Neodiprion lecontei: one gene and its partners. The protein of the gene in region 3 binds, or shares a complex with, the protein of the main gene of each other region. Links are inferred from orthologs where the notes say so. Each region holds a gene or a part of one and is shown on either strand. Other genes may lie near its edges. The genes, in order: U4/U6.U5 tri-snRNP-associated protein 2, U6 snRNA-associated Sm-like protein LSm7, U6 snRNA-associated Sm-like protein LSm2 and U4/U6 small nuclear ribonucleoprotein Prp4.

The links.
Region 1: U6 snRNA-associated Sm-like protein LSm2 (region 3) and U4/U6.U5 tri-snRNP-associated protein 2 share a complex: the UniProt entries of both Homo sapiens proteins name them as parts of the U4/U6-U5 tri-snRNP complex. The link is inferred for Neodiprion lecontei from reciprocal best matches to the Homo sapiens genes LSM2 and USP39.
Region 2: U6 snRNA-associated Sm-like protein LSm2 (region 3) and U6 snRNA-associated Sm-like protein LSm7 share a complex: the UniProt entries of both Homo sapiens proteins name them as parts of the precatalytic spliceosome. The link is inferred for Neodiprion lecontei from reciprocal best matches to the Homo sapiens genes LSM2 and LSM7.
Region 4: U6 snRNA-associated Sm-like protein LSm2 (region 3) and U4/U6 small nuclear ribonucleoprotein Prp4 share a complex: the UniProt entries of both Homo sapiens proteins name them as parts of the precatalytic spliceosome. The link is inferred for Neodiprion lecontei from reciprocal best matches to the Homo sapiens genes LSM2 and PRPF4.

What each region holds. Positions count from the first base shown.
Region 1 is NC_060260.1:4,202,970-4,211,966, reverse strand, and holds U4/U6.U5 tri-snRNP-associated protein 2, read right to left. Parts: upstream 5,269-8,997; 5' UTR 4,377-5,268; coding exon 4,295-4,376; intron 3,909-4,294; coding exon 3,630-3,908; intron 3,556-3,629; coding exon 3,380-3,555; intron 3,311-3,379; coding exon 3,085-3,310; intron 3,015-3,084; coding exon 2,728-3,014; intron 2,636-2,727; coding exon 2,507-2,635; intron 2,427-2,506; coding exon 2,365-2,426; intron 2,274-2,364; coding exon 2,051-2,273; intron 1,985-2,050; coding exon 1,925-1,984; 3' UTR 1,877-1,924; intron 1,701-1,876; 3' UTR 1,429-1,700; downstream 1-1,428. Other genes in the region: glutamate receptor ionotropic, kainate 2, read right to left, coding at 6,367-6,456, 6,754-6,810, 6,947-7,207, 8,033-8,139, 8,275-8,439.
Region 2 is NC_060260.1:39,227,325-39,233,914, forward strand, and holds U6 snRNA-associated Sm-like protein LSm7, read right to left. Parts: upstream 3,322-6,590; 5' UTR 3,246-3,321; coding exon 3,240-3,245; intron 3,143-3,239; coding exon 3,131-3,142; intron 3,039-3,130; coding exon 2,855-3,038; intron 2,711-2,854; coding exon 2,571-2,710; 3' UTR 2,091-2,570; downstream 1-2,090. Other genes in the region: chitin deacetylase 1, read left to right, coding at 52-195, 444-626, 783-921, 1,039-1,160, 1,227-1,456, 1,534-1,704, 1,810-2,088. UniProt on the Homo sapiens protein: Plays a role in pre-mRNA splicing as component of the U4/U6-U5 tri-snRNP complex that is involved in spliceosome assembly, and as component of the precatalytic spliceosome (spliceosome B complex).
Region 3 is NC_060261.1:37,242,817-37,249,473, reverse strand, and holds U6 snRNA-associated Sm-like protein LSm2, read right to left. Parts: upstream 3,792-6,657; 5' UTR 3,783-3,791; coding exon of another isoform or gene 3,688-3,782; 5' UTR 3,543-3,687; coding exon 3,540-3,542; intron 3,456-3,539; coding exon 3,388-3,455; intron 2,885-3,387; coding exon 2,794-2,884; intron 2,603-2,793; coding exon 2,477-2,602; 3' UTR 2,242-2,476; downstream 1-2,241. Other genes in the region: LIM homeobox transcription factor 1-beta-like, read left to right, coding at 283-381, 1,173-1,429; reticulophagy regulator 3, read left to right, coding at 4,560-4,786, 5,661-5,786, 5,911-6,007, 6,171-6,321, 6,441-6,569. UniProt on the Homo sapiens protein: Plays a role in pre-mRNA splicing as component of the U4/U6-U5 tri-snRNP complex that is involved in spliceosome assembly, and as component of the precatalytic spliceosome (spliceosome B complex).
Region 4 is NC_060265.1:31,357,769-31,366,667, forward strand, and holds U4/U6 small nuclear ribonucleoprotein Prp4, read right to left. Parts: upstream 5,892-8,899; 5' UTR 4,673-5,891; coding exon 4,141-4,672; intron 4,074-4,140; coding exon 3,696-4,073; intron 3,370-3,695; coding exon 3,156-3,369; intron 3,053-3,155; coding exon 2,593-3,052; 3' UTR 2,069-2,592; downstream 1-2,068. Other genes in the region: nuclear receptor-binding factor 2, read right to left, coding at 6,176-6,662, 6,979-7,244, 7,416-7,439. UniProt on the Homo sapiens protein: Plays a role in pre-mRNA splicing as component of the U4/U6-U5 tri-snRNP complex that is involved in spliceosome assembly, and as component of the precatalytic spliceosome (spliceosome B complex).

The DNA of each region.
Region 1 (8,997 bases), on a different chromosome or scaffold from region 3:
CACGCCGCAGATGATGTACGAGAAACTGGCGCACGCAAAAAAGCTGAGGAACGTAACACGTTACACTGACTTACGCGCAAGATAGTAGATACGGTATTCCTAGTGTGGCGTGCATACGTCCATGTATGAACGAGGCATGAGACGGTAACGGTACAGTTAATTGCGCGGGTAGATGAACGCGTCTCTTGATCGAGGTGTTTTTGTATCTAATTCTTAGCGCGCGTGCAGCAGCCGCCCGCGATCCGTGTGCATTTGAAAACGTTGATAACAAAAAAGGCTGAGATTTTTGTGAATATAAGGTGCATTCAAGGCGGCTGACTGGCGACGCTTCGACTATAGTCGCGCGGTCAAATATTCGTGACAAGGGCAGTATATTACACACCTCGATGCGGCGAGTAGTCAGGTGTTGGATCCAGGCACAACCGTTACAGCCGCCAGCAGCAGCACCATTCATTTACATTTAAACCAACAGCATCATTATCCTGCCGAAATTCCGATTCACGGCTGCTGCGAGGTATTAGAATCGCCTCTTCGATCCCAACTGCCGATATATCGTGTATGCATCCGTGCATACCTTACAAGTGACAACGTTCGGTCTATTTGTAAGACCTGAAGACAGGCATGAATCACGCGAGTGGGCAAGATTCAATTGCTTTACTTATCGGAACGTTTGATTTGGTGACTTTGAAGGCAGGCACAGACCGCGCGGCGTGATCAAAATTCAATTGTTTTACTTACATTCTCGGCTGTTTCTCTTGGAAATTGTAATTTCGAAGAAGGATGAGTTCCGATCGGTTAATCCATCTCGCACTGATCACACTCACACACACGGATACGTACACAGCACAGATAGGCAACAGACAACTTCACGACGGTTCGTTCGGGGGTTTCGATTCGAAAACAAGTCGACCGACCGCGTGTAAACACGAATACCTTTATCTTTCGATGAAACGAACTCGCGCACGGCTCGGAGCCGACTCAAGACTCGATCGCTGCCGAGAGTTCGGCGTTGTCCCGCCGCCTTGCGCGTCACGTCGAGCCGGGCCGCGCTGGAGGCTTCTGCGCATGCGCCGATAACGCGTTCGAAGCCGCGGAAGGTTCGCTTTCGGATATGTTTTGAGGAGCTTTTACGCCGGCTGCACGCGATCCGAAGCTCTGACGGTTTTTAAGAAATTATCGTATCGCGTGACCTCCGACGACTACCGAGCGATGCGATTTTCAAAGGTTTTATAGCGATTTATTGGCCACGCGCGACTCGTATAGACTCGATACTTCCACGTGTATCGAACAAACGACGGCTACGGAACGCAGTGAAGCGAACTGCCGATCCCGGGGATCCTGTTTCCAACTCATTTGCTTCTTCTTTGTTTTTTCAGGTTCAGGATTGACTTGGCAACCCTGCCGGTATATTCGAAGTGAGGCACGACGTTATTTTTTAAATCAGATTTTTGTTTTAAAACATCAACAATATCTGTAAATAGATTAATGTATCTGAATATCGTACATTACGTCTTATCCTCTTCCTAATATCGCAGCCGAACGATTGCTGCTAATTTCCGGAGTCTTCAAGGGCACGATTACTCGTAAAAAAAATTGAAAGTTGTATTCGATGGGTAATAAATTGCGTCACCAGTATCGATTTACTGTTTTTCTCTTTCTTTGCCACCTTAGTTCAACGACCCGGAGCGTGCGTCATCTTTCTATAAATAAAAATTACTATTCAGCCTGAATGAAAATCCTTGGCTTTCCGATCGATTGGTTTGAAAGTAGGGACGTTTCTGTGTGACACGATTTTTTACTATCCTTCTCTCCTCGTTTCAAGACACTCTGTGTGGAGAAAAGGTTCAGTGGCTATTAATTGTTTAAAATATCGTACTTTATTAAATGGTTCATTAGGCGTCCTCCTCCCTGTTTGTACAATTATTTATTTCGCTGTCTGGAATCCTTCGGTTTCGAAGCCAGCTTCTCTCCGTAATTCATAGATCTGCAATAAATTGGTGTGTAAGATTATGAAGTTGCATTACGGTCATCAGGGTAATGATATGCTTACCTGAATGTAAGCTTCAGTCAACGTAATCATTTGCGGTAATATTTGCGTCACGTGTAAATCCTGCATCTCGTACCACTGGCCTGTCCCTCTGTGCAAAACGTGAACTCTGTACGTTCCTTGACCGGGCTCACCGTCGTGAACTATGTTCGCTACCAAGTCGTACGTCGTGTACGGGTGTCTAGCCTTAACTTCCGGCGTGAGGATATCACCGAAATCTACATTTCTGCAATGTAATTTGGGGAAAAAATTATTTTACTCAAATGTAATTATTGTAATTGCGTTATTGAAAAGTACAAAAGCAAGCAAGCACTCACTTGACGGGAAAATTAACGATGGTGGGATTCTTCTCGACGAAGAAAGTATTCTTCGTAAATCTCTGTAACGTGTAAAAAAGTTTTTGGTATCGTTTTTTTAATTTTGAATAATTAGTTCGTAAATCGTATTTTATTCACGTACCTTGATGTACAAAATAAGATAAGGTGGTAGTTCGGTGATTTCAAATCTCTTCATGAAATTTTCCTTGTACGTTTTATACTCTTTTTCGGCTACTGCATTAAACTTGTTTAGTAATGTATACAAATTCACCTGTCAATTAAAGAATAAAATTACCAAAGTGCCCGATATTGAATGGAACGAGTTTTACGTGATGACCAACAATATCGATTTGCCTTGCTAACCTGAGGAATGATATTTTCCGTAAATTGGTCCTTGAAGAGCGGAGGTGGGGGCAGATCGCAAGTCAGGTACAAGAAAGGGCTTTCAGTTACGGTTTCTCCATACTCGAGTGTATTCAGAAGCTCACTTCGTTGACTCTCTTCCAGTTCTAGTGGCGGTATTTTCCGTGTATAAATCCGCATGTGGCCAAGAAACGTTTTGTATATAATGCTAGAGTCTTTTTTTTTCGTCCCATTTAGCGCCAGATGCAACGCGTTGAGAAACCAGGACAGAAAATCCACCGGATCACCTGTGGCGCAAAAATGTGAGTTCACCATGACAAGAAACGTGCGTATAATCATCGTAAAAATCTGGACAACCTTGTTCTGTGAATTGGAATCTTTTTTTGCTCCACAATACAACAGCTTGAAGCATTTCATGCGGGCTGACATGAGCCTTGAAATTTCTGGGATTCCATAACTTTCTCATCAACTCTCCGAACCTCTGGACTAGAAGGTAAGACGAATCTCCTGGCGGTCGTTTCACATGGGAGTAATTATATTCTCTCAGGAAGAAATCTCGCAATGGAGTAACGTGAGACAAAGCCTGTACAGAAAAATATATCGAGGTTGCTTTTCGCAAGTGTCATATTTGGCGTTGATTGTCCAAATTTACCTGCAAAATGACGTTGCAGTAATCATTTGCCTTAATGTTGTTCATTCCGACTATTCCGGGTGAATACATCGAGCCATCTATAGCTCTGGATAATTTGTCACTTTTGTCCAACTGAGAAATTTGCCATTTATCAAAAGTAGGATTTAGAACGTACTTTATGTCGTCAAGGGATGAATCTGTAAACATTAGCAACAGGGTCAGGGTTGAGTCGAAATCAGAAGATTTATATTATATAGGTATGTCAACTTACCGACAATTTCATAGTTGTCCGGTAAACAATAAAATTTAAGCGTGTGAAGATTAAGAAATACATGATGACTTTCAGCGACGCTATGAGTATAGGCGTGAGTGTTAGTGCCTCTACCTTGGAAATATTTACCACAAACTAAACAAGCGTAAACGTTGATTCTGGAAAGAGACACAGAACACAATTTCTCAAAATCAAAATCCAAGAATTGACGATTGATCGTATCGAGGTAAGGGCACAGACGTGGAGCCTCTGAGTTCGATCTATAGGTTTTTTGCTGCGCTGTAAGAAAATAAAAATGAACCACATGAAAATTGATCGGTTTGTAAATGATTTCGAGATACCGAGGCATGAAAATCGAGATACCAAAGTCATTCAATGAATTATACTCAAAGATTCAAGGTAAGGTTTGTCACTTGAGATAATAAACAAGTTTCCCGAATTCGGAATCACTTACTACTGGCAAAAACGGATATATTTGCTGTATGTCTAATTGGGAATGAGGATAATTGATGTTTCAATCAAGTAATAAAATGCAAGCCGAACGTGACGAACTTGTAGGTTAGTTTAGGTTATGTGCCGTTGCGTTGATGAAAAACTTTTTACTCGGGCAGACATATTATCACAAAAACAACGGTATTATTTATTATTTGAATTACAACAGTTACCATCGTTATCGTCGTCCGAATCACTGCCGTGTTCCACTAATTTCCTCTTTAGTTTACTTCCCTGTTTCCTGGACGCCATCATTGATGTTTGTTAGTTTTTCGACCTCCGACCATCGAGGTTCTTCGACTACCGATGAATAACTCGAGAGTCGAATGAAACTTACTTCGAGTCGGTTCAAATACTGACGAATTTATCGGTAGTCGGTGAATTTGCCAAATGCGGACTTGCTAAATAATGAAAATGTATAGTTATCTTCAGTAAACGCTTTGCGGTACTTACCATCCGGCAAGTAATGCATAATACAGGGCGTGCTTATCATAGCGAAGTGCCGCTGTAGCGGTCGAAGCAAAACAAATAACAGACATTAACGATTGATGTTGTTGCAGCAAGAACGAGAATCTAAGAAACTTTGACTACCCAAATATATTTCAAAACATTAATCATTTATCATTTACTCAACTAGCGCATTTCCATTGTAGGAGAGAATCTGGATTTACAAGAGGGATGAACCAATCGCACTATATTTGCACAATCATGCGTCAATGCGATAAGATCTATACTTAATTTACGTAATCATTGTTTACCGAAGTTGCAAAACATCGCAGCTGTAGAAATGAAGAAATGAAAGAATAGATTGGTTTCTCTCGATTCAATAGAAAAACAAATTCGCTGCTTGTCTATTTTACCAATACGCAATAATTATCGATTTCAAAAATGACTTCGATAAAACTTTTTTTCCTTTAATGAAATGATTTTTTTTTCACAGAGATTTTTAGGAAGTTGATCGTCGAACGGCAACGTATCCACGGTCTCAATCGTATCGAGTGACAATACGATCGATCAATCCTTTTTGTGAATCCATGTGTTCAGTTTTCCCAGGGATATTCACCAGTAGATGATGAGTAATGTTTGGGCTAGATTTCAAGCACACAAAGTTTGTTAAACATCTATTTATGCTGCAATACTTAACATCGTTTGGTAATTTAATTCGTTCGGTTTCGACCACTACATTGGCACTCCACTATGGCTATTATTACGCTTTGTGTAACGATCCACTTTAGTATGTATCGATACCCAGCCTGCGTTTACTTAAAATTTAATAAAATTGAAATAATTAAAATTACATTTATTAAAAGAATTAATTAAAATTAGTTCCAAAAACGTTTTTCATTTTCGATTATTTTTCCGCATAATCGTACAAGGAAATACGAAAAAAATACCATAAGCGGAATGCAATTCTCACGGATTATGCAACGTATATTATACCTGTATCAATATGAATAGCCTAAACATAATTATCTGCACAGCTCACACGAATGCAACATGTATAGATGTGTGTAAATATTATAAGTTGTACTCTTTAATACTAACATTCATCGTCTTATTATGATATTACACAATAATAATTACACATTTAAATTCAAATGTATAAACTAGACAAGTTCTCGCTTATCGTTATACATACTAAATCCGTATGTATACATCTATACCGACTATTTATTTACAATAAATATATATCATGATCGCGATTTGGATTCGTCATTACCATTCACCTGTATATTATATTGTTCGTTATACACGACGTGTAAAACACGTCATGTGTATCAAGAGGTACTATAGTTCACATGGTATCGTCGTTCCAACAATAACAATCACAATTTCAACTCAACTCCTCTAAATCGTTTATAATTACATATTACAATAATTCTGTGCAGTGAACTCAATTGTACTCGGCTCTGATCAATCAGCAAACGTGAGTTGTAAATCCGTTTATAGATCTGAGACAATTGATCTGGCAAAGGACGGTGAAACCACGAATAACTGCCTGAGATCGTACGGATTTATCTACCGCGCGTGTACCGACCGCATTAGAATGTACCAGAAAACAGAATTAACGCTTACGGTTGAACGCCTGGAAAAATGAATAAGTAATAAACGATTGAAATGACATAGTTTTGCTCAAGTTTACGTAAAGCGTGAAATTTTCAACCACGCTAGGAGAAAAATTCGGGTGAAAATTTTTCAAAAGTAAAACGAAGAATGACGAAGAACTTCGGACTTGTTGCCATCTTCAATCGTAATCAACGTCGAAGTCGTGCGAAAGTCCGTGATGCATGTGAATGTGGGGTGGAAGGTCGATGGCGCCCCCCAAGCTACTCCTCTGAAAAAATTTCAAACTTTTTCCCGTTGTGCGAAACTTTTTATACACCTACAACAATGCCGATTTCAAATGGGATTTGTTTTTTCTCTTACAAAATTACACGGTTATCGTGGTACTGTACATACTCAGTGCTTTACAAATTAATTTATACGCAGCGATAATTGCGACAGCTTTATTTTTCGATTAGCTGGGTGTAAACTAAAAAACAAAAGCTACAGGTGCAGCGGAAAGCGAGTTCGAGAGTTTGAAATAAATAAATAATAAGAGAACAAAGAAGAAAAAAAAAAAAACACACACAAACCAACTGCAGGAACGAGCAAACTTCCATCGATACAAACTCTTTCGACGTTCGATCTGCGGATGTTAAGCTGCGCGTTGAAAACCGGCGATTGATGTAATTGCAAATATCCTAGAGGGTTGATTTCATCTCCAGGCATATTCGAATCGCATGCATTTCCAAGGAAGACGTTATACGCATTTACGAAATCACCTGTGACCTCATCCCGTTAATCGGTGTGGGGGTTTGATTTTCTTGGAGGTAACCAGATCCTCTGTTTGACGAGCATTTTTCGCATCCCCGTCTTCTGCGCTTTGAAGAATTGCAGCGAATCGCCAGACAGAGCTCACGAGCCATTTCGGAGCACAGCGATTCCTGGGGGTTGGAATTCTGCTGTTGCTGTTGCTGTTGCTGTGTTGCCTGAGGAATGCCTTGCAGGGAACCGGAGCAGGTCGGAGGTCCCGTTGGCCGTTGCTGCGGGATAAGAAGAAAAAAGAAACGCCAACGTTTCATAAGTTCCTGCGAGCGTAAGGACATTCGCAAAATTGCGCGGCGAACCATTTGCGAAATTCTGCATAGACAGCGTGCAGGGCGGATATAGAAACGATTTTCAAACGTCCATGCCACGATTTTACGAATGGAAAGGTCTAGTTGATGTTTCAATAAATTTGCTGCAGCGTGTAAAAGAATGTCGACGTGTTGGTGAAACGTTTGGTAGAAGCCGATCATGGGTCTCTAAATTTTGACGAGAGAATTCTCGGTCTAAGGTTTAAAGTAAATATGAACGAAATGAAAATTTCTGTTACAAACACGTTTACGATTGTGTCTAACCGTGTCTCACCTTCATGCCTACGTCGAATCGGTGAAGCTAGTAAGATTTTCGGTCATGCTTCAATCCACGAGTTCATGCTGTAATGTTTGAATCTTGGATGGGTTTAGTCATGAAACGAAACAGATTAGTTCGTCCAAAACTTGTTGTTCGTGAAGAAAATCGTAGCAAAACAATAGCACTAAACACAAGAAGCATCAAATTATGCGAACTAAATACTCCTATCAACGATCTTTACTACCTCGAGACGAGTTCTTGGTTAGTAAAATAAAGAAACTTGCGTACCTGCATTAATTACGAAGCAATAGCAAAGCGAGCAAAGTATAAAGCGTGCAATTGAATTGTGCGGAATGGACAATGCCATTCTTCGCAAAAAAGAAAAGAAAAAAAAATTAATCTACTACTTTCAGCCACATAGCTGTAGCAAAAGTCCTCGACAAATTTTTGCCACCCGGATGAATGAAACTCACTCGTTCGGCGGGCGGTGGTGCGTTTCTTTTAGAGTTGTAGCAGAACTCGAATATCGCAACAAGAACTGCGAATGCGAGACCGCAGAGAAGGACGACGAATACTCCGCCTACAAATTTGAGGCGGCGGGCTTAATGACGCGTTGAAAGAGCGAGGGTGTGCAATATTAAACTCCCATTCGGAGATACATATGTAAACATTATCACGTAATACGTCGTCTGTAGATACGTGCATAAATGTATACCTATATTGTCGACGCCTAGGGCGTTGGCTTTGCTCTCCTTCCCTTTCTCGGTCCTCATGCACGTGTCGCCTGGACTCTTCCACCATTTGTCGTACAGCATCTGGATCTCTCCCTTCTCCTGCAGCTCAAGGATTGCCAGCGATATTTTGTCCCTCCAGGGCGATCCTGCGGTACGCATACTTGAATGTTCGTAATTGACGAGGGGATTGGGACGGGGTTGAAATTCCGAATTTGAAGAGTTCCGAAGGCGTCAAATTCCGAATTTTTTTTTTTTTTTGTAGCGAAACTTAAAGTGAGGAGATCAAACTTTGACGAAACGTCAAAGTTTCGAATGATCCGAAAACGGTCGCTCAAAGTTCCGAAAGAGCGAAAATGAGAAGATTTTTAAATCTGAAACATTGTAATGCCGAGTGATCAAAGATTTTCAGTTCTGTCAATTTCTAGTTTGGTGAAATTTTACCACTCTGATCTTTCTTTCACCTGGATTTTCGATATTTCTTTAAACCCACTCATTGAGTAAAATTTTCTGCGTGAGTAAATTTTAATTTTCGTAATTTTGCCCTATCGGAAGTTTACTTTCCGCGAACTTTGCTTTATCGTAACTTGAATTTTCGGATTCTTGCATAATTCGGAACTTTGAGCCTACGGCCTTCCAACCATTCGAAACTTTGTTGTTTCTTCAAAGTTCGATTTCTTTACTTCAAGTTTCGCCATCAAATACTT
Region 2 (6,590 bases), on a different chromosome or scaffold from region 3:
TCCGACATCAAAGCTCCTAATGACCTGATCAATTTCACCTCTTATACACAGAGGAAATACCCCCGAAGCCACTTCTCGACGACGGTGAATGCGAGGATGATACCTTGGCATGTGGAGACGGAACGTGTTTACCTTCCCTTTACTTTTGCGACGGAAGCGTTGATTGTCCGGATGCCTCGGACGAGGCCTGGTGCGGTAAGAATCGTTAGAATTATTCAAAACCGCAGAGAGTTATTTAGGTACTTAAGGAAGACGATCGCTCTTACCTTGAGTTGGACTGGGGCCAACGGTGGACTTTGGATCCCAGCAATAAACGTCTGAAATTTCGATAGTAAAGTTTAGGAATATATTCAGAGATTAGTATCCTTGGAAAAGTTGATTTATTTACAGATATAGGATATGCTGGAAGAATTGAAAAAATAAAATTCATCTTGTGATTTCAGATACAGAGAAGGACCGCAACGCGGCACCGTCTTGCGACCCTGAAAAATGCCACCTGCCAGACTGTTGGTGTTCCAAAGAAGGTACCAGAGTACCTGGAAACCTGAGCGTCTCCAACATTCCCCAGATGATCTCGATAACTTTCAACGATGCCGTCAACGCCGAAAATATTGACCTTTACTCAAGTAAGCATCATCGGAGAAAAAAATCGGTAGGAAATCTGCCAGTGAAAATTGACGATTCCTTGACAATGACGACTCGAATTTCCTTCAATCGCATTGCGAATTTGATTCTACGAAATCAGGAGTACATTTTTCGCAGTACACTTTCATACTTTTCAGACATATTCAACGACGCGAGGAGAAATCCGAACGGATGCCCAATTCGTGGTACATTCTACGTAAGCCATCAATTCACAAATTACAGAGACGTACAAAGTTTGTGGAACAATGGCCATGAAATTGCAGTTCATTCCGTAACGTGAGTATACGTGTAATGACAGGACATCCAAGCCGAAACAAATAATATATTCAGTTCCATGAATTCATCGCCGAACGATAATCACGGCGTAATCGTTGAAAGAAATTCCTATTGCAGACATCGAGGCCCTGAAGAATGGTGGTCGAAAAATGCAACTATCGAAGATTGGTTCGACGAAATGGTCGGGGAGGCGAATATCATACACAAATACGCGGGAGTACGAATCGAGGAGATCAGAGGTACAGTAAAAGAAATATGATAAATTCATATTCCAATTCGCGAATTCCATAATGATCGGTTAACAGGACTGCGAGTGCCGTTTCTCCAAGTCGGATGGAACCGTCAGTTTCTCATGATGACGGAGTTCGGATTCGCCTACGATTCGACAATCGTAGCCCCGTTCTCGAATCCACCGATTTGGCCCTACACCCTAGATCATCAACCTCCTCACCCTTGCGGCAGCCCCGGTCAGTTGTGTCCAACACGTTCGTACCCAGGCCTCTGGGAGATACCGATAAACCAACTGCTGCTAGGGGTAAGAATATCTCCTCGAGGCATGGAATATTGGTCTCTGAAGTTTCTATTTAATCGCTGTTTCGGTTCGTGTTTTAGAATTACACGTGCACCATGATTGACTCTTGTACGCGGGATCTGTCAGGGGAAGAAATATATCGTATGCTGACGGTTAACTTTAACAGACATTATCTACAAAATCGGGCACCCTATGGACTCTACTTTCATGCAGCTTGGTTCAAGAACCCAGCATACCACTACGCGTTCTCGGTAATAGTCAACTTTTGTCATCTCGTCGTTAAGAATCGTCACAAAATTAGTAAAGTCCTTCAATTTACAAGCATGTTATGTATTGATTATTATTCTGTATTCCAGAAATTCATTGACGACACTCTGCAGCTTCCAGACGTTTACTTTGTAACTAGTAATCAAATGGTTGAATGGATGCGAAATCCAACGCCGTTAAACAAGCTAAAGAATTTTCAGCCATGGAACTGCAACAAGCGGCAATTCGAGCCCCGGGAAATTGCCTGCGCCTTGCCGAACACGTGCAAGTTGTACAGTAGTGTCTTAAAGTCTGATAGATATTTGTACACGTGTTACGAATGTCCGAAACAATATCCCTGGTTAAGAAATGAGTTTGGATTGAACTAAGGTAACGGTTTTTCTTCTTGCGTTGTATTTTACTTACTTCTCTTCTTTCTCACAAATCAATTGAGGGTGAAATTAGATCAATAAGAATATCACGCAATATGCCATAATTTTAAGAACTTACGTAGTTACATCTAGAGTGTGTAATTACCACAGAGATTTGCTTGTAATTTGTTCGAATATGACTGAGTACCTTAATTAGTTGTAAGTAGGATATTTATTTGTACGAAGAACGTATTATATGTGTATCTACCATGAGAAGAAAACCACAAATGATATTTATTATCTAGTAGTGGAACGTAAAAATAAATCGATCATCGTGTGGTTAGGATAGATGTTCGAGTTTTACCAATCCATAGTCATTTGAAACAAATCATAAACCGATGGTCGATGGATGTGCACACATGGCGTGTCAGGTCTGTTTTTTTCTTCAAGCTTATGTGATTCGAAAAGGTTGTAGATAAAAATTTGTGTAATATAAACCGTTAACCATCTTGCTGAATGAATGGGTTCTGTATCGATTCCATTCCATCGACTGGACATATTAGAACAACCGACGTTCCTCGGCATACAACTAACCCCAGCATCCTTGTATCCTGATTCAATTTGTAGGGATCATCTGGATCTGAAAACGGCACAATCATCCACAATGTTACTCATTTGTTATTACTCTGAAAATTGAGTGATTTCAAACCAATTATCAAAGCGGTAATATCAATAATTTGACTTATAAGGACAGACGGTAACTGATTAATTGACTACGATGTACCTCTAAGATATTCAGTCGTGTTGTCTAAAACAAGATTCAGGAGCGGATCATATCCTTTTAGAATTCCTGCAGCTTCCCTGCCTCCGGCAAACTTTACCCTTATGTTCTTCTCAAGGTATTTGGAGAGATCCAATATACTTTCCTTCCTTTTCTTCTCCTTGTGATCAGTGTGAGCATTTTGGTTCTAAAAACATTATTCAAGTTATTATAACAGTTAAGTTTATGGACTTTGACGATTTTTGAAGGTTATGTTGCTGAAACATAACCTTGATTTACCTTATTAGCAGTCTGTAAAATAGAAATTTATGGAATGACAATTAACTTTCATATTTATAGGTAATAGTACCGAGTATTATAATCATGATGTATGTCTTGATAAACTTACAGACATGTTTTACTTCTCAGGTTATTCCAAGTAGTAAAAAAACAAGTGACCGCCGGTTAATAATACGAATGATTACTGTGAATTCCGCGTTCGTAAAATAAGGAAAAAAGCCATCGACCATAAACCGAAGACGTACCGACACATGTAGATGGTCAACTTTATGGAAATGATCTTCTGACGTGGAATTTAGTGGGAAGTATGATTTTGATTACGTGGAAAGTAGAAAATAGAACGAATTAAGTGAGCAAAGACGTTGCGGATTTGTGAGATGAAATTTTTTTGGCCGTAAAAAAGAAAGGCTAACTTTTTAACCTTTTGAATTTCATTGGTATAAAATTTGTCATCTCTGAACGGAAATTTTTTTACGTGTCTCTTCAGCTGTTGATCTCACAAGGTTTTGAAAGCCTTATATGACTTCTGTGGGGTCTAATTAGCCTAGTAAGGATCGCACAAATCGATGCTGAGATAAAAAAAATTTTTGTTTCAAATATCGCAAAAAATGTAAATTCTTTTAACTTTTCAGGTCATATTTGGCAAATTTTAGTGAATGCTGAAATCGATTAATTCATACCCAATATCAACGTAATTTTGAGAGAGGAATTCATTACGGCTGGCAAACCGAGTTGCAAAGAGGTGGAAGAGAAAAATAACAAATTCATAGCTACCAAGTTCCAGTTCCAGTTTATTCAATGTACCTTAGTTCTATTACAAGTGTTCAGGTGTCAGTGTATACTAATTTACCAAATTTCCAAATAGTATAGTTCTAATATGTTGCACTAATGCATTATAGTATTCATGATATAATATATCAATAATTCCTATAATAATACATTCACTGGTATAATTAGGATAATATTTCCAACGTTATTGGTGTTCAAGATAAAAAGTTGCAGAACAATGAACTAACATGACACAAGGAGTCTAAATACAGCATAGGGAAAAAATACTACGATATATATTGCATTAAGCTGAATATAAACAATGTTGTACAAAATAATTATTAATGCAGTTTCTAAGTGCGGTTTCAATTTCAGCCTTAGTACAGGTGCAATTCACCGTCGCAGAAAACGAGACGTGTAATAGAATACAATAGATACAATAGATTGGAATGTTACGATTTTACATAACCTGGAATAAAATAAATAACACCTAGATAATTTCTCCCTACTTTCTTCATACTATCTTTACTGTTGGTACCACGCTCTTTTTGGTGCGTTTTCTGAGTTCCTGGTGGTCCAATTAGTCATAAAAGCGTCATACAAATCGAATCTGAGACCAAAAGTTTTTTGCCCAAAAAAAAAGTAAGGCTAACCCCTTTGTGTTTTTGGCTAAAATTTTCGCGATTTTGAAAAGTGCTGGAATCAATTCTTTGGCGCCCTATATCGACGTAATTTTGCAAGAAAAATCGATTGGGCGCAGTAGGAACACGCTGCGAGCAGCGGGTCAAAAGTTACAGCCAAAAAACCAGAACCTGAATTTTCGACATTTTTCAGCTGGTGCTCTTTCCATCGTAATTTCTGTGCTGTTGGTCCTACGCTCTTTTTGCTGCGTTTTCTGAGTTCCTGCCGGTCCAATTAGTCATAAAAGCGTCATACAAATCGAATCTGAGACCAAAAGTTTTTTGCCCAAAAAAAAAGTAAGGCTAACCCCTTTGTGTTTTTGGCTAAAATTTTCGCGATTTTGAAAAGTGCTGGAATCAATTCTTTGGCGCCCTATATCGACGTAATTTTGCAAGAAAAATCGATTGGGCGCAGTCGGAATACGCTGCGAGCAGCGGGTCAAAAGTTACAGCCAAAAAACCAGAACCTGAATTTTCGACATTTTTCAGCTGGTGCTCTTTCCATCGTAATTTCTGTGCTGTTGGTCCTACGCTCTTTTTGCTGCGTTTTCTGAGTTCCTGGTGGTCCAATTAGTCATAAAAGCGTCATACAAATCCAATCTGAGACCAAAAGTTTTTTGCCCAAAAAAAAAGAAAGGCTAACCCCTTTGTGTTTTTGGCTAAAATTTTCGCGATTTTGAAAAGTGCTGGAATCAATTCTTTGGCGCCCTATATCGACGTAATTTTGCAAGAAAAATCGATTGGGCGCAGTCGGAATACGCTGCGAGCAGCGGGTCAAAAGTTACAGCCAAAAAACCACAACCTGAATTTTCGACATTTTTCAGCTGGTGCTCTTTCCATCGTAATTTCTGTGCTGTTGGTCCTACGCTCTTTTTGCTACGTTTTCTGAGTTCCTGGTGGTCCAATTAGTCATAAAAGCGTCATACAAATCCAATCTGAGACCAAAAGTTTTTTGCCCAAAAAAAAAGAAAGGCTAACCCCTTTGTGTTTTTGGCTAAAATTTTCGCGATTTTGAAAAGTGCTGGAATCAATTCTTTGGCGCCCTATATCGACGTAATTTTGCAAGAAAAATCGATTGGGCGCAGTCGGAATACGCTGCGAGCAGCGGGTCAAAAGTTACAGCCAAAAAACCAGAACCTGAATTTTCGACATTTTTCAGCTGGTGCTCTTTCCATCGTAATTTCTGTGCTGTTGGTCCTACGCTCTTTTTGCTGCGTTTTCTGAGTTCCTGCCGGTCCAATTAGTCATAAAAGCGTCATACAAATCGAATCTGAGACCAAAAGTTTTTTGCCCAAAAAAAAAGGAAGGCTAACCCCTTTGTGTTTTTGGCGAAAATTTTCCCGATTTTGAAAAGTGCTGGAATCAATTCTTCGGCGCCCTATATCGACGTAATTTTGCAAGAAAAATCGATTGGGCGCAGTAGGAACACGCTGCGAGCAGCGGGTCAAAAGTTACAGCCAAAAAACCAGAACCCGAATTTTCGACATTTTTCAGCTGGTGCTCTTTCCATCGTAATTTCTGTGCTGTTGATCCTACGCTCTTTTTGCTGCGTTTTCTGAGTTCCTGGTGGTCCAATTAGTCATAAAAGCGTCACACAAATCCAATCTGAGACCAAAAGTTTTTTGCCCAAAAAAAAAGGAAGGCTAACCCCTTTGTGTTTTTGGCGAAAATTTTCCCGATTTTGAAAAGTGCTGGAATCAATTCTTCGGCGCCCTATATCGACGTAATTTTGCAAGAAAAATCGATTGGGCGCAGTAGGAACACGCTGCGAGCAGCGGGTCAAAAGTTACAGCCAAAAAACCAGAACCCGAATTTTCGACATTTTTCAGCTGGTGCTCTTTCCATCGTAATTTCTGTGCTGTTGATCCTACGCTCTTTTTGCTGCGTTTTCTGAGTTCCTGGTGGTCCAATTAGTCATAAAAGCGTCACACAAATCCAATCTGAGACCAAAAGTTTTTTGCCCAAAAAAAAAGGAAGGCTAACCCCTTTGTGTTTTTGGCGAAAATTTTCCC
Region 3 (6,657 bases):
GAGCAGAGCCCCCGCCTAACTGCGGAACGGATATTGCGAGGCATGTGTCACCGGGTGACGGGCGTTAAATTCCTGGGAAGACGACCCCGCGAAGTCTTGTGTCGCCCAGAGGCATAAGGGAGGTCTTTTACCCCGTCAGTTTTATAAGTTAAAGAATATAAGGAGGGGCTCCGTGGCACCGAGTCTCTCTCTATCTCTCTCTCTCTCTCTCTCTCTCTCTCACTCTCTCTCTCTTCCGCAGTGTGGGTTTGTCACCTTTCTTCTATGCCGTCTCGTTCACAGGTCATTACTTGAACGCGCTGAGCATGCGCGACGGGGATTCTTCCAGCTTCCCTTCGGCCACGCAGCCGCTCAACCCCAACAACCCTTACTCACCCGACGGTAAGTTGTTGACGCTTCACCGTCGCCGCCGCCTTCGTTTCCCAAATTTTGCCCAACCAGATCCGACACGAGCTTTCGTTCACGTGTGAAATGTCCATGCGCCGAGAATAACTTCATTTTTTGCAGTCAATGGAAAATTCTACCAGGAAACATATCGTCACAGAAACAGTTTCGATACTGCGGAAATTACTGTTGTTAGTACTGGTATTACTATTGAGAGCGCGGATTGTAATTGCCAGTACTACATTTTCTGACTATTCCAACATTGAATCTGTTTGTTTATTTCCCTTCATTTTTCAGCTAAACAAGGCCTTGACAACAATTTATTGTTGCAACAACATCAATTTATCGCAATAGTTACAAGGACCATGATCAAAGAGAATATTAACACATGCATATATGTATATACCATACTAGATTTACAGATTACAGCTATAAAACTCATTTTTATCTTTGACTCTGAAATATATTTTTTCTGATAACGATAAAAAATTGCACCGTGCAGTAAACACGACTGGAAATGTCACTCATCGTTAGTGCAGAAGCTCGCGATCCTCGAACTTCGCTCTCAATTCCTTCCCCATTTCCTTCTTCGAGAAGACTATTTTATTCGATATACACTTTGCATCGTTGGCTCAGTTTATTTTTTGTGGGTTAATTCACTGAGGATGAGCGCACTGCGAAGTACCTAAGAATAAATCGAACCTTGTCTTACAGTTGACTGATTTTAAATACCAACCAAGATACTCTGATGTTTTCGATTTTGCATATTTTCCTCATCTGCGTTTCAGACACATACGCGGGACATTCCGGCGAGAGTTTCTGCAGCAGTGACCTTTCTCTGGACGGTACCGAGGCCGGGTTCGATATCGGGGATGGGGATAACGGGGGCCCGGATGGGAGTCATCCTGGTGGGCCTCATTCCCATCACGGACCTCCCCCGCACGAAGCGCCGACACTTTCCCAGAGCCTACACGCCGCGATGCATAATCCGATAGACAAACTCTTCATGATGCAAAGCAGTTATTTTAGCGGCGAACATGCGTAGGGGTTTGAGCCTTGGAGCCTGGGGCTTGATCAAGCTTAAACTGAAACTTACGCGTAATGAATTTCACTCGAAGATTATTTTTCAAACGAAACGAACAAAGTACGCGCATGTATGTAGATGTACCTTTTACGAGTAGAGATTCAACGACCTGCTGTGTAATATTGTTCTAGTCAGGTTTTCTTCGATGACCCGTAGAATTGGTAAACTATTATTGCTGTCGTTCGAGTTGTTGATTTTTAAACTTACTTCCTTCTCAGATACCGATTATTTTGATCAACCAATACTATGATTACTTATATATATTTTAATTTATTGAAAAAAAAAAAATTAATCACCCAGTTACGTATATTTATTTCATCGTATATAGCTAAATCCAAAGAATAATCCGTTGCTTTAGTTTTACCGTATATATATACTTCGTTGAAACATCGATTTTCAGTTTTAAATATGAAGATTGATACCAAATAAAAGAGATGTAGAAGAATATTTGTATTTACGTTTAATAATAAGTGTACTTTAATATATTATAATAATAAAAAGTTGCTAAACCAAATATCGTTACCGAAAAACTGTAATATGGGAGGATTCTATTTGGTTTTGGACAGAAGTAATGATATAAAAAATAATTATTTTCAACCCGACCTGATTAGCAATAGATACGTAAATTCAAAAATTCTCTTGGCAACAAATCCCGAATAAAATGACATAACACTGTACCTCAAGCACGTATGGGATAAATAATTACACAAAATAATCGTTCAATTTCTCATGTTATTCAAGACCCAAAAATTCGCAAAAAAATTGCCATCTGCTATTTGTACAAAATAGGTTTTATTTGTAGTTTCTTACAATCATGTTGCTTTGAACTTTCGCCAAACCGTTGACAACAGATTCAGTGATTTGTTACAAACGTGAATAAACACCCGTTTCGTAAATTAAATTTAAATAAATTAAACTTTATCAATCAAACCGTACTGAACATAACTGTCTATAATACGTCTTATTGTAAATCGTAACATACATGTAAGCATTACTGGTACTGATTTGTTATCGGGTTTGTACAGCTGCCTCTTTCCGTGCAGCATCTTGCAAAAGCTGTGTATCAACCTCGTCTCCAGGAAGTTGAACGTACCTCACTACAGAACCACGAATGAAACAGTTTTTCACTGACAACTGTAACAGACGACCAAAAATTGGATCAAGTAATTCTGTACTGCCGAATCACAAAATTAAGGAAAGTAGGATATCTCCAGACATAGAATAATTCAAGTAAATGTTTAATACGTGTTATTGTGTACTGGCTTCGCCGGATTATAGTTTCTTATAACATGCATTACTGATCAACATGTGGTAACTTTACAAACCATGTGAGGATATTTATCTGGATCCGTCACACTGATGTCTGTGAGCTTGATGTTCAGATACTGGTCCACAGAGTGTAAGGTACCACAAATACTGAAAATATAATAATAACAACGGTGAGTAATTGGTATTTGCAAAAGCTGACTAAGAATAATACATAATGCAAGTTTGATCAATATTTAGATTGCAGACAGAAATGAAAAAATGGACTGAGTTACAATCGGTCAGAAAAGTGAACAGGATTGCTTGTTAACTTAGAATGGATACAGAAAAAAAACTTGTAACATTTGAAAATTGTAATTGGAGCTTTCAAACATATCGTATGATAACAACAATAGAAATAACTCTCACAACTCAAATAAAACGAATAAAGCTCAAATGACAAGTTTGAAAACCGAGTGACAACAAACTGAGAACACTGACTATCTGCAAACCCGGAATTTGTATTCATATTTATTCAAGTACATGTATGTGGACCATTGACGTTGTTGAATTTCTCCGTATCTTCCGAATCTCGAATACTGAATGGAAGTATATTTAACCACGGCAGATTATGCGGAGAATGTTTACGATTTATTGTTGCATATTTACGTTACCTCAGGTCATTTTTCAACTCCACTACGACGTCCTTCCCGACCAAAGATTTGAAAAACGAGTAGAATAACTGTAAAAGAGAAGAAATAAGACCAATATTACAACCCCTCAACTGTAGATAATATACAAAGACGTTTTTAAATATTTCGCTAACCATTTTTACCGAACAACATAGAAAATCACAGGTTATGTGTCTCGTTCAGTTTTGGAGGTTATGCCGCTTCGTTACAAAACCGAACATAACGCTCTCACACGCAGCTAGATATCGATAGTTCAGATGCCTAGTTTTAGGTCGATAGTCGATGGAATGTCGAGGTATCGTATTGATAAAAGAATCATGGGTTAATGCGCGCGGGACGCATGAGCGGAAGGGACAGGCAACTTACGTTCCCAATATGTACGTATAGGTACGCACAAATGTGCAGAATAACGCTAATGACTTAACAAATTTTGGTAAAACGTCAATTGAAAACTGTGAATAAAATTAAAATTTATAATCGATGTACCGTATTGATTCGTACGGTATAGAAGCTCCGTTATTTGGCCTGGATCGGGTTGAGATTTGGATGTAAATGTACATAGTTGGGAACAAAGAGAAGAAATGTGATAAATACGGTTTACGTAATTTAAAAAGGATAGATATATTTAAAGCGCTCCAGCAGAGAAAGGAAGGTACGCGAATGCACCGGACGGAGAGAACAGCATGGGGAATATCCAGGTCGGAGAAGGACGGTTGAACGTTGCGAGGTGGTGGGGGTGAACCACATGGTTCCCAACATCAGCTTCGCTGTAGGCAAACATCGCAATTTTCACGAACCATTAGTGCGAAAACGTAGTTGAGACCTACGCAGTCCTAAGGATTGCGAAGATACTATTACGCGTTTAGGGCTTGATGTGAGCTTCTATTGCGCAGCGATTATCGGAGATCTTACTGTTGCGGTTGTCGACGGGGACAAACTCTCGTGTGTTAGGAATAAAATAGAATAAAAGACGGAGAAAATTTCTACCGAATAGATCAAAGGTAGAACACAACAAAGTGGGGGTGTGTGCCTGACTGTCGCAAAATTTCGTTGTCACGCGCTAAAAATAATACGGAGACGAGTTTTTAACAGTGCCATGCTGGTTAAAAACAATAACTGATAAATCATTTAGGAGGTTTTTTTTTCATCAAGTCATGGAGAAATTAACTAACATCGCGTATTATTTTCGTTGGAGGCTTCGGGAGAAGGAAAATGTCCCCGAAAAATACGACGAAAGTACGTCCGAAAATAATCGTCCCGGAGACGTTAAGTACAACTTTAATACGTCCAACAGATTTTTAACAATTCTGGAAAGCATTTTGCTCTGGGAGAATTCAGTGAATAGTATCTCTGTCGTCATTGTCTTCAATTTATTGTTCTGGTAAGTTGCACGATATTACCCGTTGGCTGAATATTTTTTCTCTTTTTCTTTTTATCGCATACTAAATTTACCATACTCTCATAAAAATTGATTTGCAATTTATATGATCACAAAAGAAGCTAACACGTCGTGCCACCTTTTTCAACATTTTCTGTTTATACCTCTAAAAATGTTTCTAGCGATAACAATGAGAATTTAAAATTTGCAGAATCATATAAAATCATACAAGTTAATGAATCGAATATTGTAAGAGTAAAAAATTTATTTTTCTCATATGAAAATAAATTATAACTCTCGGTCTGCTGGCGTCTTTCTTCTTAACTAAAAATTGATTTTGTAACATGGTAAAGTAGAGGTATTGAAATTTGATGGTGAAACATAGCTATTGCCGTAAATTTGTTTCAACGTCGTATGTGTACATATGAGCAAATGAACTTTACCTATACAGTCTAACTCCGTAGAATGTAATGTATTAATTATCAGCTGTTCACAGCGTAGATATTCACAACAAGCTATCGGAAGACAGTGTGAATTTGTATATAAACTTTAATGAGATACTATTGCAATGTATTATTCAGCCTTGAATATGTATAATCTGTTTTTTTTTTACTGATATGAACACATGATCGTACTCAATTCTGTGCGACCAGTATTCAGGAAGTGACGCTGGAAGATAAATCAGATCTTATCTGTAGTGGTGATACACAAACTTGTTTTTTTCAATTGATAGAACATTTTATTGAACCTTTGACTCATTATAAGTCTAATTACAAATTTTTACCTGTTACCGAACATAACAATCAAAAAACTATGATCTTCGATATTTTAGCATAACTACGAACAGTTATACATTTATTTATCTCAATTTTTTCAGGGGAATTGTCGTATTGGAGGTTCGCGGTTTTGCGGCAGCCAGCAGTGCTGCGCTAGTCGTGGTCCTCTGCTACAGCACCCTTGAGACACAGGCCCAAAAGGATAATAAATCACCAACTGTAGCGACGTAAGTTATTGCTTTTGACATTTCACATTTGCATGGATTCATCGGTAAGAGATTTTCTTCAATGTAAAATTTTTGGTTATTCGATAATGATAAATAACCCAGATAACAAATCATGTGTTTACAGCCCACATGTCAAGTCAGAGCAGCTGAACAAAATAGTTCGTCAGCTAAAGTCTGGTGTTGACAACCTCAAGCAATTGCGCAAACAACAGCCAGGAGTGGTAGGATGTTTTCATTTAATAAATATTACATCATTATTTTTACTTATTTGAGTTTAATCGCGTTCCTTCAATTCATGTGCCAAATTTATTTTAATCTTATCTATAGCTGTTGAATGATATAAAAATAAGTATTTTCTATTATGGCCTTTCCTTTTCCCTTCAGTTCTGCGCTTCTACTTGTGCAGTTTCGTTGGGTCTCTGGCTGACAGGACGAGCAATTTCTGGGACACTTTTAGCTTACACAATTTTAATGAGTATCTTAGTAGGACCTGGGATTCTTTTGCATATACCGTGCAAAGTTATGACGTCTAAAGGTGAATGACAAGTGAGACTTGATCAAGATAAATTGCAGCTGTTTTGGATAGAGTGTTAAAATTTTTGAAGAACTAACTCTGTATTTACCAAGCATTAATCTGAAGAATTATTCTTACAGAATGGGATAGCGAAATAGAAGAGTTTCTACCTGCGGTTACAGAAGATAACTTACAAGTGTTAAAGCGAGCAGGAGAAAGTGGGGATCAAAGTCTTACACCGACTAGTTTGTCAGTGGAAAATCAAATTGGTACAGTTTTCACACTTTGATTTGTAACAATAGCAACACTGCTGAGGGTTGAAGTCATTTTTTCACATTACTGATACTTTAACTCCGA
Region 4 (8,899 bases), on a different chromosome or scaffold from region 3:
AAAAACGAAAACCTGTGTTTTCGACATTGTTCAGCAGCTGCTTGTTCCTTCGTAATTTCTCTCCTGGTGCTCCCACGCTCTTTTCGCTGCGTTTTTTCAGTTCCTGGGGGTCCAATTAGTCGGGAAAGGGCCATACAAACCAACTCCGGGACCAAAAATTTTTTGATCGAAAAGTGAAAAAAAAGTAAGGCTAACCCCTTTGCATTTTTGTCGAAAATTTCGGCGATTTTCAAAAGTGCTGGAATAAATTCTTTCATGCACTATTCCGACGTGATTTTGCGAGAGAAGTCGATTGGGCGCAGTTCCAATACGCTGCGATCAACGCATCAAAAGTTACAGCCAAAAAACGAAAACCTGTGTTTTCGACATTTTTCAGCAGCTGCTTTTTCCTTCGTAATTTCTCTCCTGTTGCTCCCACGCTCTTTTCGCTGCGTTTTTTCAGTTCCTGGGGGTCCAATTAGTCGGGAAAGGGTCATACAAACCGAATCTGGGACCAAAAATTTTTTGGTCGAAAAGTGAAAAAAAAGTAAGGCTAACCCCTTTGCATTTTTGTCGAAAATTTTGGCGATTTTGAAAAGTGCTGGAATAAATTCTTTCATGCACTATTCCAACGTGATTCTGCGAGAGAAGTCGATTGGGCGCAGTCCCAATACGCTGCGATCAACGCATCAAAAGTTACAGCCAAAAAACGAAAACCTGTGTTTTCGACATTTTTCAGCAGCTGCTCTTTCCTTCGTAATTTCTCTCCTGTTGCTCCCACGCTCTTTTCGCTGCGTTTTTTCAGTTCCTGGGGGTCCAATTAGTCGGGAAAGGGCCATACAAACCAACTCCGGGACCAAAAATTTTTTGGTCGAAAAGTGAAAAAAAAGTAAGGCTAACCCCTTTGCATTTTTGTCGAAAATTTTGGCGATTTTGAAAAGTCCTGGAATAAATTCTTTCATGCACTATTCCGACGTGATTCTGCGAGAGAAGTCGATTGGGCGCAGTCCCAATACGCTGCGATCAACGCATCAAAAGTTACAGCCAAAAAACGAAAACCTGTGTTTTCGACATTTTTCAGCAGCTGCTTTTTCCTTCGTAATTTCTCTCCTGTTGCTCCCACGCTCTTTTCGCTGCGTTTTTTCAGTTCCTGGGGGTCCAATTAGTCGGGAAAGGGCCATACAAACCAACTCCGGGACCAAAAATTTTTTGGTCGAAAAGTGAAAAAAAAGTAAGGCTAACCCCTTTGCATTTTTGTCGAAAATTTTGGCGATTTTGAAAAGTCCTGGAATAAATTCTTTCATGCACTATTCCGACGTGATTCTGCGAGAGAAGTCGATTGGGCGCAGTCCCAATACGCTGCGATCAACGCATCAAAAGTTACAGCCAAAAAACGAAAACCTGTGTTTTCGACATTTTTCAGCAGCTGCTCTTTCCTTCGTAATTTCTCTCCTGTTGCTCCCACGCTCTTTTCGCTGCGTTTTTTCAGTTCCTGGGGGTCCAATTAGTCGGGAAAGGGCCATACAAACCAACTCCGGGACCAAAAATTTTTTGGTCGAAAAGTGAAAAAAAAGTAAAGCTAACCTCAAAAATGTTTTGCCCAAAAAAAGTAAGGCCCTCTGCAGTTTAGGTGAAATGTTTTGTACTTTTTAAAAATGCTGGAATTAATTCTTTGACGCGCCAGAGCGACGATTGTTGCCTGAGAAGGTGAAGGTCGGGGGTTCATCGCGAGGATCACTTGACATGCAAGAAATTCGAAAAAACAATAGTCTTCGATCCGCCGTTCGCAGCGAGTTGAGCATGTGCACAACGGATTTGTCTGGGAAAATCATGTCGCCATATAGTTGAACGAAGCGATGGGAATGTCCAGCATTTTTCAAAAATTCAGTAGTGGCCTTCAACGTTCCGCGATGTTTTGGAGGTCGAAAATTTGTCTACTTAGAGTCGTCTTTCAAGAGCTTTTTGTCAGAAATTGAATTCTCCGGACTTCAACAAAGGCCTCTAGAACATTGTAGGTTTTACAGCTGAGGAAATATAATCAAACTAGTTCGTTTATGGTCACTAACTTCAAAATATTAAAATATTGATCTCTGAAAGATAAATATAGGTGTTTATTTGTATTAATTTCATTCGGCCAAATTAAGCTGATTCGGCGTTATACAAATGGATTGATTATAGATGTTTCTGAGAAAATCGCACGTTTTTGTTGTTAAAAATGACGCATGTCACCAGCTTCTAGCTGAGGTTGCCTGCAATTAAGCCTGCCTTCTATCCTCTGTCGTGCACGTTTGATCGCCTGCAACTCTGATTATCAAATTATAAAATTTTCCATCTCAGAAATAGTATTCAGCGCTCTAAATATACTCACCACATCGTTTGATACTGCAAATCATACAGAATACACCACAAACATTGTTACCCGTACAGCAGTACAACGATAAAACAATGTTTTATCATGAATTTTCAACAGTCATAGATTTAATTTCCTCAACATGGTAACCCGTGTCTCTCTGTTCAGTCGATTCTACTTACAACAGGAGAAACAGTCACTGAAAATTTTCACTAAAGACAATGGGCATTTACAGGATTTATAGCAAATATTTTCTTTTTATTTCACATGTTTTCAGGTGCCCAGAGCTTAAATGTTCTATCATATGAGCTTGTGACTATAAATTTGTGGTCAGGAGAAACGTCGCAGCACATTACTTTGCCATCATGTCCTGGCAATGTCTTCAACGGTTGCCACGTTTTGTTGGACCAAATTTTCGCAGTATTGTCATACGACGCCGTGACCAAATACTGCCCTTCAGTACGCTGATACTTCACGTCTGATAATAAATTGGTGTGTGCCGGTATAGTGTAAATACACGATCTTTTTCGTAAATCCCATATTTTGCACGAATTATCCTCGCTTGCAGTAGCCAGGTGAAAACCATTAGGCGAAAAATCAACTCCGAAAATAGATTTCAAATGACCCTCCATAAACATGATACAGCGGCCTGTTCTCAGGTCCCAAACTCTGCCAAAGGAATCATGGCCTCCCGTAGCAACAACGCTGCCGTCACATTGGAAACTGTGAAAAAAAAACCATTCAGTCAACCATTGTTTCTGTCACCACATCAAGATCGACTGAAAAAATTTCTTCAAGAATAGTAAAACTATATAATAGTATCAACCTTATACAATGTACTGCCTTGGCATGACCCTCTTGATGCAAAACTTCAGCTTGTTGTTCCAGATCCCACAGTCGCCAAGAAGCATCGTGGCAACAGGTTCCTAAAAAGCGACCCGATGGATGAAATGCAATCCTTGATACTCTATGGGGCTCATGACCTTCAACTTCTGCTAACGGCTCTTCACTTTTGCCTCCACCCCACAGCTTAACACTTCCTAGGAGAACATAAAGATAGAGATGACTATATAGATAAATCAGCTAAGCAACAGACCAGTCATAATACAATCTTATAGTTAAGAAGCTGAGCATCCACTCTGTAAGTATGAGCAAGTCAATCACTGACTGATAATATGACCGATTTAAGAATGCATAGATGAATTTATGCATGCAAATGAGCAATACTTTCTCATGTGAATAAGCAGTGTAATTTTGATGTGAACAGATTTCTGGTGAGCTATAAAAAAATCTGCTATCGAATTACAAAATAGATGCATTTCTTCATGAGTCAACAATACATGTCCTTCACCATGTCAATAATTACCGTCTGAAGCACAACTTGCTAGAACACATGTAGGCGACGCATTTTCTCCCAGCATGTCTTCAGTGAGTGTTGCATTCGGATGGAAAACAATACAACTTACATTACAGGTATGGCCCCTGAGGGTTCTGGCAATTGAGCATTCAGGTACAGACCAAATTTTGCAAAGCCCAGACCAGGAAGATGTTGCCAGTAATTTTGAATTCGGACTGAATTGGCAAAATGATATGGGACGGCTGTCTCCAATTTGGGAGCAATAAATGCTGAGAGCCTGTAATTTTTTCAGAAGTTCCTGCCGACGTGCAGTACGTGTAGCCCCTGGAAGCTCTAATTCTTCTCTAGATTTTTCAAGCCGATCTCTTGCCCTGGGAAGTGAATACGCTAAAAAAAAAAACATAACTGTTACAGTGCAAACTTTTGATTTGAATCAATACGTTTTGATACTTACATGCTATCCACGAGCGGGCAATTTGAAGGGAATCTGGTCCTTCGTGGTACCAAGTTGATTCCGCATCTCGTTCTGTCTGATGCAATGGCCGCTCCTCGTCCTCATGTTTTTTTTTAATAGCGTCTTCACCTAAGCTAGCCAATAATTCTCTCAACCTGGACCTTCTGTCTGCTGGGCCTTCACCAAACAAACAAATTGGTTCCCCTAATTGGCGCAGATTGTTTTTCACTTCCGAATCATCGGTGGAAACATTAATCTGCCTGGCTTTTTTTCTCCGCTCAAATTCTTCGAGCAAAGCTTGCCTGTCTTTAGACATCTCATCTTCAAGTTCCATGTATTCATTTGATATGTGCACATTTCCCAGGGCAGCAGCAGTTGTTGGCGTATCTGATGGACTCCTATTATGATCTCTTTCCTCATCTGAAGATTCTGCAGATGTAGCTGTGAGCCGGGCACGTTCAGCTTCCTCAAGGGATCCATAATGCACAGTTTTTTGCTTTTTTACATAAACAAGGTCCTCGTCGTCGGACATTTCAATTATATCCAAGTAAAAAAATGTATAAATACGTTATTTTGTTTAAATACTTCACAAAATGCGGCTTATAACGTTTATAATCTAGGTTAGGCTACGACCATTCACAGAAGTTTTGAATTAACGGTCTACAGAAATGCTATAAAGTAAAGCAAAGTATTCTTTGATTATAGTGATTTCACTTGCTGCAATCAATTCATCTTTTTTCGAACGAATATTAAGTGTTACACAGTCACGTTATTGTAAATTATCATTGACAGCCATACTGGACGCTATTCCAGGCATAGACTACTTTTTCACCGATGGTACAGATCAGTCTAGAGCACGATCGTACTTACAGGTCTGAAAACTCGGGAGGTGGGGGGTCTCCAGCTTTGTCCATAAATTGTATAGTTCTAACATTGGTTTCATGCACGATTCGCGAGGCATCCCGGGCACTGATATATGTATGTATATATACACATGCAAATCAGTGTGATTTGAGTTCTTTGAGAAAGTTGAAAACTGTCGACTTAAAATGTTCAAAATAATTAAGCAAAGTCCCACACAATCTTATGCAGGTAGACTTATATCCCTTATGTCCAGCATTCATACTCGGAGCTATAACCATATTATTGCATTCTTGTCTAATGCCATTGCAATTGATTAACTGTAGTCCATGCTGAGTATTCAATATTCTTGTGAAAGTTTTGTGAAGCAACAAATCATTAGCACTTGCCCTAAGGGGATATAGCCACGAATTAAAAAAGAAGACATTATGAATATCTTAAGGTGCGAGAAGCATGTCTCAGGAAATTTGCAACCACGCTACACTGATTTTTTAAACTCCAACAGGGTAGCGACAATTTTGCTCAAATAAAATTCTAGACTTTTCCCTGACTTTTCCCGTCGAAAAATTAAAAATTCCCTGATCTTTTTCTATAAACCTTAGGTCACTTTAGTTGGCTTTTATGACCAAAAGCTCCAGAAATTATGCACCTGAAATATATAAATTTGGATTCAAGAACAGTGGGGTTTCGTTTCACATAAATAATTACAAATTGAACAATATCATTTCCGAATGTTAGCTTAGCTGAATTTACGAAGCATAGTTGAAATTGAAAACTATTTATAAAAAATTACGTTTTTCACCGTTCTCCATCATAATTCCCTGACTTTGCCCAATAGACGAAATTCTCTGATTATTCTCGGTTTTCCCGGATTCTGGGCACCCTGTCCAATATATGTATATGCACAGTAAAGCCTTAAACAGTGTTTCAACTATGTACGCCACTGACTGTTACCTCAGCAAAGTAAGTAATTGAACCTTTACAACACTTGTATTTTTCGGATGGTCAAAGTGGTAAAATTAAAGAAAAAACGAAACTGGTACACATGTTACTTAAATATTTAATACTATTGTGAGATTATCACTTGATACTTGTTTCCTCTTACTGTGACAAAAATTTGACTGATTTTAAAGAGATAAATATTAAGCACATCCAAGATGCAATATTTTCCCTATTACGAAGTGGCAAAGTCAAAGGACGGCATTTCCAACGGGGCAAGCGGCGGCAATGGGGCAAGACTTATTGAACTATCTTCAGTGTTTGAGTGGAGGGACTCCTTGTCAGGGGCTGTCGCTGCTCTCAATTGTTCAGTGAGTACTTTAATCTGTTGTTGACTAGAGTCGAGCTGGTTCAATAGTGTTCCGATTAACAGTCGCAACTGGCTGTTGACTGTTCGCAGTTCTTCTAGCACAACAGCTGAATCTTTTGGACGTTTTACCGGTATGGTTTCATTTTGCGGTGTCAATATTAGGTCTATCAAACTGTCTTGTTCATCCATTGCTCTGTCGATAGCTTGATGAAGAAACTTGTCATCTTTGTCGACGGTGACAAAGTTCCTCGAACTCAAATTTGCAGAGTGCTTCGCAATCTGATTAGACAGCAGTTCTTTTTCGTGTGTTTCCAATGCTGCTTTGTACTCTTCGTATTGAACCTGCTGCATTCTGTAAAAGTAATCGAAGTGTTCAGATATATCGAATCGCTTTCAAATTCAAAACTAGAAGCTTCCGAAAGTTACAGCTCGACTGAACAAATTTACGAAAAATTACGATTACTTGAGCAACTATAGTCAATTGATAAGGGTTTACGGTGAGATGGGGAACAATAACCTCCTAACAATGCTATAACCATTGCTACCAAGCTTCAGTATAATAAAACTCCAATGTGCGTAAAAATAATATTAGGACGTATAGAAATTGTGAAGCTTAAAACAATTCTACATACATGCATAATGTATATTGCATGGGCGAATTAGATTACCTGACAAATGCTGCCTGTTTGCGATGGTAATCTCGTTGCAGCTGGATGGATTCAATAGCAGTGTGTAATTGAGATGGCCTTGTCAAGGGGTTCAAACATCGGGTCGATTCCCCAACCTCGAAATTCCGTACGTTGTCAAGGTTAGGCAACTGTATCTTTATCTGGACTTCAGAAAATAGCTGGGCAGCCTGTTCGTGGCACCTCGCAGCCTCCTCATACCTCCTCTCGTTGACTAACGCCTCGGCCCTACGTTCCACGGCATGGGCCTTTATCAGATCCCGCCCCCACCCCATCCATCATCAACCCCCACCGTGACAAAGTGACATAAATAATTCGTTATTATTATTCCTCGCACCATTGTTATTATTATTCAAAAACAAGTAATAATGTTTGTTTAGACGGGATCTAACAACATATTTATTGACGTGAATACTTACCGTGTTCAAGGTACATCCTTCCATTATCACAAGGAATTATGGCTCAGTAAATGTTTCACTGTCGAAGAAAATCCGATAAACGTTAACAGTTGCCAATTACTATGTATCGAGAGGCCGAAAAAATGCCTTCTCCCATCACACTCGAGTTAAGCCCGTGACAAATTCTCTACTTTGTATATTACATACACGTACATTGAATGTATGTACAAATGCAAACATACCGACATGCATACCGTCAGTCGTTTGCGATAGAAGCGCCAACTCTGGTAGCTGCCAACACTGTATGCAATTAGGTGTTGCACACTGAACTATAATCTAACAAGTACGCTTGCTATTCTACGGCACAGAGAGGCAGCGAACCGAGAGAAATTTTGTCTGGTTTATGGCGTCGCGCATGCGTTCGTCAGAGTAGCGTAAAGCATCTGCAAAAAGTTAAACCACCAACACTGTGACCACGGTTGACATAGGCGCTGTAAAAGCGCTGCAAGAATACATTGAATTCTCGTTTACTCGAACTAGCTTTTTGGAACGGATTGTACGGAAAGACCCCACTATAGGTATTATGACGCTATTTCTCGGCTCCACGGTCTTACATACAGGTCCGGAAACTAGTAGGGTGGGGAATGACTCAGATAATGAGGCAAAACCGTGGTTTTCGTCTTCGCCGTCTGCAGCGCTGCCCCCTCGGGGTGAGCCAATCATAAATCAGATCCGAACAGCTGATTTTTCGGAATCAACAATCCTGCATTTTTTACACCGTTTACACACTTTACACTGAGTTATGAACTGTGAAAAACTTCGATGAGCAGGTCATCTTATCGGTATATATCTATATCTATTATACCCCGGGCCAATGGCGCCCCTAGCGGATAGATAGGAAACAAGACCGTGTGCCTCACTAACGGTGACACCCCCTACCACTCAAAAGTGCCGGAGTTACCAGACCTGTATGTAAGACCGTGCTCGGCTCGCATCGAAGGCATATTCAGTGAGTGTGCTACGGCGCAGCCCTTCGGAAGAACCAATCGAAAAGGTCGGCTAGTTGACGTCACAGCAGTCGGTCGATTCAAAACTGTTTGAGATTCTGAAGTAGATTAGAATGTTATACATGAAACGTTGATTGAATTCTTCAGTCGACGCATAATGGAAATGTGAATACATTTCCCTCTGCAGGTCCCACCACGATTCTTAAGCCCCATAACCGAACAGCTGTACATTTTATTGAATTCATGAAACGATCCGAGTCAACGTGAGGCGTGACCCGCTACGTTTGTTCCGTAATTGTCAACGTTGTATTGAGGTAATGTAATTTGTACGCGTGCATGCGCGTGCGCTATAGGTTCACCACGAAGTTAGTATTACTTCGTGAGGTTCACCATGAATTACCGTGACATGAAATGGCGTGATGCGCGACCTTGTACGAAAAATAGTCCTTTATCGAGCGCACCTGATTCCTTACACTAGCGTGGCTGCAGTCGATGTAC